2 linked regions of the Coturnix japonica genome follow. Each later gene encodes a partner of the first gene's protein in a complex. Links are inferred from orthologs where the notes say so. Each region holds a gene or a part of one and is shown on either strand. Other genes may lie near its edges.

Region 1 (3,651 bases):
GCCATTAAGTTAATGTCAGTGGGGGATGGAAGCAAATTAGGCTATCTGTAGCAGTGAGTTGTTTTGTTTTGTTAGGGATAGGAACTCAAGTTGACGTTTCAGATGTTCTTGGTACTGACCTGACTTTGTTTCCATTTTGGTTCTGTTTGGAAGAAAATTCAGATACTGAGAAGCATTTTCTTGCCAATTCTTTTATCTTTCATTTTTGATATATTTAGAGATATGCAGGTCCTTGGTTTAGGAAACATGTTCTGGAACACTAAAGTGCTCTGTGTTCTCTATCCTTGATAAACTTTCCAGACTAAATAAGCCTTACGCAAACTCAAAGTTGGGACAGCTTTGAAATATTTAAGTACTTAAATATGAAAGATGACGGATGGATTTATTCATGTCTGTAAATGAGATGAACTGATAGCCTTCACCTAAAGAAGAGCTGGTTGGTGCTCACTTCTAAACTAAGGTTACATGCTTTTCTTGCAGAATTTATGAAGTTTCAATGCTCTTTCCACTTCCAAAAGAAAATTCTTTTGTGTACTTTCTCTTCTTTGCTGCTTTTATTTCTTTACCTTTTCATTTACAGACCTGTACGGCCCTAACTCTCCAGAAGTGCTTTCAGTTGTGTCTTCTACTGCTTTCATTGTAATTGCTGTAGTGGTTAGAGCAGCTCCTCTGGAAGCCACTATTTTGTACCATTGTACTGACTGGGTGACACACTGAGCCTTTATCTATCCACTTCTTTTTTTTATTGTTTATTTTTCTTCCCCTAAGTCATGTCAGCATGGTTTACCTTGCCTACTCTGCTCAGCTATTTTGCTAGAGGTAAAAGTGAATCTGATCTCTTTCCCCATCCTTCCATTTGAGTGGACAGACTAAAGTCCAGAACCACTGTTTTGAGCAACTTCTAGGAGTGCCAGAGTGTAGGGGATCCATCACATTGCCAGTAGGCTCCTTCCTGGTGCGTGTTTTCTTCTTTGTTCTTGGTTTTTTTTATTATTTGGTCATTGATTCTGTTTTTGCAGGTGGCCGTGGACAACGAAATGGAACTTCTGGGATGGATCAACCTTGGAAGAAAAGTGGGAAAAACAGGAAATCAAAGCGCATTAAACCACAGGAGTCTTCAGACAGTACAACTTCTGGAACTAAATTCCCCCATCGCTTTCCTCTTCAGGGTTTAAATACTACTGCTTGGTCACCATCAGACACTTCACAAGCAAGCTATTCAGCGATGTCTTTTCCAACTGTTATGCCTGCATATCCACTTCCTGTTTTTCCAGCAGCAGCAGGGACTGTGCCACCAGCTCCTGAGACTTCAGTCTCTGGATTTAATCAGCTGCCAGACTCGGGAAATACTTGCCCTATGCAACCGTCCCAGTTTTCTGCCCCCCTCATGACGCCTGTTGTAGCTCTTGTGCTCCCCAACTATGTCTACCCAGAAATGAACAATAGCTTACCTCAAACACTTTACCACAGCCAAGCCAATTTTCCTACCCATCCTGCTTTCCCTTCACAGACAGTATTTCCAGCGCAGCCTCCTTTCACTACCCCCAGCCCTTTCCCACAACAGGCGTTTTTTCCAACGCAACCATTCCATTATAATCCACCAGCAGAAATTGAAAAGATTCCTGTCACAGAGACACGAAATGAGCCATCCCGTTCCTGCACTCCACAGTCAGTGGGTCCTCAAGACCAGGCTTCGCCGCCTTTATTCCAGTCAAGGTGTAGTTCTCCTCTGAATCTTCTACAGTTAGAAGAAAACACAAAAACTGTGGAAAGTGGAGCTCCTGCGGGTTTGCACGGAGCTTTAAATGAGGAAGGAGCCATAAACAAAATCATGACAACTGATGATGGTAGTGGAAAGGGATCCCTACCAGTAAGTATGTTTGTGTTCTTCTTGGGTATGTGTGTTTTCCATTTAAAATCTTGGCACTCTAAGAATATTTAAGGTGTTAAAATGTAGAGATACCCATAGTGGGTCTTTTTCCCTCTTCTGTTTTCTTGTCTCTACTTTATCATTTTCAAAACTCTCTTGTGGACCTTAAATTTTAATATCTGGTCTGCAGTCTCTAGAGACGGAGTCACTATTGCAGTTAGTAAACTCAGGTTTTGGTAGACTGTATAAATGTGGAATCAAATTGTTTGAATAATGCTAACTTTTAAAGTTGAAGGCAGCCTTATTGTTCTCCTGAAGTTACCCCAGGAAACTTGAAAATGAATCCCGAATTAGTTTTGTTATGCAGCTTTTAATGTGAGTGCTAATGCATTCATTGAGAAGCACTGAAATAGATTGTAAATCATTTGTTCACTTTTTTTTAATGTTTAGCAAAAACTTTTTGGGTAGTAAATTTCTGAGAAGGGAGTGAGGGAGATGCAACCTGTAACTGAGGTCTTGAAAGAAGCTGATATAAAGGAAATTATCTTTTTATTTTGACTACTTGTTTGCAAACAAAGTATGAGGTATTGCCTGCGGACACTGTTTATTTTTCTTGGTGCACTGTGCCCTAAAGCTCCGTACAGAGCTATGTGATAATGTCAGCTTCTTTTCCTGGCTCATTTAGATTTGTTGGATCAATTAAACTAATAATCTGACAAACCTCAGGTGGAGTGCTGTGTCTAAGGATTTCTATGATGATGGTATAGACTGTTACATTACTGTTGCATAAGGATTCTGCATAGTGTCTTTCCGAATGCTGAGTCACTGATGGGATGCAACCTAAGTCTTCTAGAATGTCCTCCTACCTCCTGCTTTTCTTCTTATGTGGGCTGTAACTGTTCACTATAACTGACAGCGTATACAGAGTACAATTTGAGTTCCATGCTGTTCAAAGGAAAGCAGACATTGGAAGGTGTGGCTCTTACTGGCATGTGAGATCAAACATGCTCCAAGTAATCAGTCATAGAGCGCAATTAGTGCTGATGCCAACAGCTGATTAAATGACTTTGTTATATAGTTTGTCGTGGGCATGTGCCGACATTAGAAACTGTGGAGGTGGAAGGTAAAACGTACAAACATGCTTGCTCCTCACTCTGACAAACTTAGTTGCTCAGTTTCCAGATGATTTATTTTACCTAATAATCTTGATATTGATTCTTAAGGGGGATGATCAGAGGGGGAGCAGAAAGGAATATAATATATCTGCCTTTCTAGTGAAACTTCCAAACTTTATTGACATTATGCAAAAGCTTACTGTATTCTGTTGTGGCACGCTTGGTGTCTCATGATCTTGAGAACAAGTGTATGTGTATATAATATACACACATTATATTTAATGTATATATGTACATAAATAAAGCACCTTAGATTTGTGCATGGTAAAGAAGTGCATCTGTGATGGTCTGAGACTTACTGCGTGCTCTGAAATGTTGCTACTGGATTAAAGTAAGCTTGATAACAAAAAATACCAACAATTTTGACGGGAAATCCTTTGGAATTCTCTCAGGAGGCTATTTCCCATTGTTCGGAAACCTGCAAAATATTACTTTCTGTAATTTCATCATCACTTGTTTGAACATGAAGGCAAAGCAGGCATTTGTTCAGGAAAGCACTGAGGATATATCTGAAGCTTGTTCATGTATTACAATGTATTCTGTTAATTTCTTCATCAACGTTAATTCCTGAAATTCTTCAAGCCAACTTCTAATGAAGTTTAGCAG
Region 2 (3,651 bases), on another chromosome or scaffold:
CCATGGTCTTATAAGCTGTGTTTGTCATATAGATTGTACTTTAGGGATGGTTGACAGAAGTAGTGCCCCCAAAGCCTGCTGTGACCCAGCTGCAGAAAAGAAAAGGTAAACTTGAGTCAGCACCCTCCTGCTGTATGTTATCCTGATGTATATTTGTGGGAGGAGCGCAGTCTTGGGGAGGGGAATAGTGTATGCAGATCAGAAAGTGCACCAGTGTTTATTTTGGCTTCTGCAGGTTAGCACGTGACAAAACTTATGTGCTTCTTTCAGCCTTTTTAGAGACTTTGTTATTTTTATCTTTTGATCTGCAAACAAGTCTAAGCTATTAGTAGCCCATGCCCTCCTTATTTTAGTTCAAGGACTGGGTACTTGCAAGATAAGTGAAACTGTGTGGGAGAAATATACCCATTCTGATCAAAGAAACAAAGAAGTAGTCAGTAGGGTCTGAGGTTTGGACATATGGTTGTGAGATCAGCCAGGCCTGGGGGTTGGTACAATCTCTTCTGACTGGGCAGGCAGTTCAGTGGATATCTTACATGTGCTCTTAACAGAGTTGGTGGGTTTTTTGTTTTCTTTTTCATTCTACTACAAGGTAAATGTGTGGCTTTCGTGGGAATTCAGGCCTCTCCTGAGCTGATAAACTGAGCAGCAAATACTGGATAAATGAATGGCAGCAGCTTGTGCTTTGCTCTCAGCTGTTGTGAGGAGCTGACACATGTGGTAATGCAGCACTTACGTCCAATTAATTTCTGCTCTTGCTGCTGGGAGCTGAGCTGTGTTGTTGGTAACAGTTGCTGCAGTGGCACTGTGTGCATGGGTACAGTGAGGCAGGCAGATGAAGTGTACACATTAGCTCTGCTTTAAACTTCATAGTAATATAGGATTTTTGTCACCTGCTGTGGTACATACGTGTTGTAGTTCTCTTTCCTTCCTAATAGTAATTTTACGATTCAAGGCAAGCTTATATGGTTGTTTTCTGCTTCTAAACTCCCATCCCAGTCTTGAGTCTTTGTTTTTAAATGATCATTAATGAACTAATAATGTCTGTTCCTTGTGCAGTGCTTGTGTTTCTGATGCCTCTTAGGTCTGGTTCTGAGATGGAAGAGACCATCCTGTGCTTACAGAAGTGACTCACTGTCTCACTTGGAGACTGGTTCACATCTTGCTTGTGTGCAGGTTTTTTTAAGTGTCTCTATAGATTTCTGGCTGTGTTTGACTGGAGTGTTTGCTAAACAAATCTGTGGGCTGCTGCTCTGTTTGATGGATGCCTCCTGAGGGTCACTGTGGAAACCATTAAGCCTCTTCTCATAGGATTCATTTTCTGAGGAAAACTAGGCCATAGTCTTTGAGAGGAAACTATGCAGTGCCAAAGCCTGGAAGAGGCAGAGAGCTATTTCATAAGGCCTTTGTGAGAGATCTGCTGCAGGTGTGAGATAAAAAATGGATTTATGGATCCGCTAGGCTGAATAGAAGTTCTACCTTTGGAGAGTTAATCATTTCAATCTGAATTGTAGTATCATACATTACTTTTTGGAGCAGAGATGTCTGCTAAGTTTGTCCTTTTCCCAATACCACATTTCTTGCTTTTGGCTTGGGCAGTGGTCTTCTATTGTACAATGGCTTTATAGGGAGACATGGGAAAAGAATTAAGTGTATTCTCTTTAGTTGATAGTAGTCTGCATGCAATCCTTGCTCAGAAGTTTATATTTTTACATTGAAAGATTTCTCTGAAATCCTCTTTTTGCAAATACTGGAATGGGATGGCAGGGTTTCTTTTGGATACAACCAAACAAGGTGGTGTTAGGTCAAGTTGTAAGCTAAGAACATAAATAGAGAAGAACTCCAGCCTCCTTTCGTGTGGTTCAAATCCAGCTTTTAGGAATTTGCACAGCATTTGCCAGAGCTGATAAAATTATTGGTTCTTCCGTTACCCCAATGACAGACTGCTGTTCTCCACAGGAAGCTTCCCTAAGTTCCCAGGAGCTGACAGTAGCAATTACAACTTCAATGATTTAGTAATAGTGCTGGTTAAAAAGGTTTTCTTTTTGGCACCTGCTTGTATTATTTCTTACAGGAATGGGGAGTCACTCGTCTCACCTTTGAATACGACTCGGAACCATTTGGCAAGGAGAGAGATGCAGCTATTATCAAACTGGCCAAGGAGGCTGGTGTGGAAGTGGTCATTGAGAACTCCCACACGCTCTACGACCTGGACAGGTAAGGGCAAAGTGCTGCCTCAGCTGGGATTGCTGTGGCTGGGAAGACCTCGGTCTCCTCATTTACTTCGATTACTGTATGTTGATCTCTGTCATCCCTTGTGAGCTTGGGAGGTGTCACCAGGATTACTCTGCGCACTCCAGCTTTTGATTAGAGTGCGTCAATATGCAGACAGTGACGTGAATGTATAGAAAGGTGTTGCCTCAGGCTAACTAATCTGTACTTTACTGTCATTTAAGTTGCTCCGCTATGTCCTATTGATTGATTTTCTTGGGCATGACCTGTCTGTGTGGACTGCTTTTTTTTACTTCACTGTATTAAAGGTGTCCGAGTTACTGTCTCAAACAGAGACAATAAAGGCAGGGCTTTAACAGATGGATGTGCCAGGACAACTGGAAGAAGTAGAACAAGGTAGATTGGGGCAAACTTACCTTCTTCTAAAATCTGAAGGCCTTGTCTTTATTGTGCATTTGTTATGGCAAAGTCTTTCCTATATCTTGAGGTTGGTTTATTTATATGTAGGTAAGGTTGGCTTAAGACAGTTTTTCAGCTACGACTATACAATATGCTTGACTTGAACCATGTTTCAGTGTTATTCTTATAGGCTGGTTTCCTTTTCTTTTTTTCCTTCAGATGACTCGTATCAGTAATGTTGATTGTAGTTTTTCTCCTTTAAATCTTTAGTATATGTAACTTCCTGTGTGAAAGAGCACTGCAGTTTAGCATGTGCTATGTGGAAATGTTTACACGTGGGGTAGGGGAGTTCTTCACCTCTCTCATAAGGAGGAACTCCTCTCTACCTTTCTTGCATTAGAAGATGCTATGAACACTTAATTTATCCTCACTTCTTCAGCACCCCTCACACCCTTAATTCTGTCCTCCTTGTCTTTTCCCACTTGGAGAGTCTTAGCTTATTTACATTTTCAGTTGAAGTCTGTTCTGCAGCTGTTCTGATATCTTTTTTGTTGTCTTACTTTGTATTTCTGTGTGCTTATGGGGTGATATGGAGGGTGAAGAACTGTAGCTGGTGTTCAAGGTGTAGGAGCAACACGCATTCACTTAGTGCTGTAATATCCTTCTTTCAACAGTCACCAGTGTTTTTGTTAGTTTGCTTTTCTGACTGTCATTGGGCTGATGTTTGTGAGAATCTTATCAGGTGCCTTCCAAAACTCCTGGTGGAATCTGTTAGCCAGATATGCCCTGCTCCTGAGATTAATATGGCTAATAGACATTACAACTTCCCATTACCAAGGCCAGTTTAACCCTCCAGCATATTGTACATAGCCATTTGTTCACCGGTCCTATTAGTATTTTCTACTAATCTGCCCACCAGATCAAGCTTTCTGTTCAGTAGTCCCTCTGATGCCCTGAAGTGCTTTTCAAATCTCACTTCATGCTCACTTTCTTGCCTCCTCACTATGTGGACAGTTTTAA

What was found. Proteins that work in one complex are often made in the same cells at the same time.
Region 2: the proteins of PER2 (region 1) and CRY2 are in contact, whole or in part, in a crystal structure (PDB 4U8H), measured with the Mus musculus proteins. The link is inferred for Coturnix japonica from reciprocal best matches to the Homo sapiens genes PER2 and CRY2. Residues at the interface, in NP_035196.2 of Mus musculus: Tyr1132, Leu1134, Gln1135, Asp1136, Pro1137, Trp1139, Leu1140, Met1142, Ala1143, Asn1144, Thr1145, Ile1149, Met1150, Met1151, Thr1152, Tyr1153, Gln1154, Leu1155, Arg1158, Asp1159, Leu1160, Val1163, Leu1164, Asp1167, Gln1168, Lys1170, Leu1171, Leu1174, Gln1175, Ser1177; in NP_034093.1 of Mus musculus: Trp58, Ser63, Ser64, Val65, Lys163, Leu166, Thr167, Lys169, Arg170, Glu215, Leu216, Gly217, Phe218, Asn330, Pro331, Ile332, Cys333, Ile334, Gln335, Ile336, Pro337, Asp339, Asn341, Pro342, Glu343, Leu345, Ala346, Lys347, Ala349, Glu350.

Annotation. Positions count from the first base shown.
Region 1 is NC_029524.1:4,261,425-4,265,075, reverse strand, and holds part of PER2 (period circadian protein homolog 2), read left to right. Parts: intron 1-1,019; coding exon 1,020-1,870; intron 1,871-3,651. UniProt on the Homo sapiens protein: Transcriptional repressor which forms a core component of the circadian clock.
Region 2 is NC_029520.1:21,417,868-21,421,518, reverse strand, and holds part of CRY2 (cryptochrome-2), read left to right. Parts: intron 1-2,074; coding exon 2,075-2,217; intron 2,218-3,651. UniProt on the Homo sapiens protein: Transcriptional repressor which forms a core component of the circadian clock.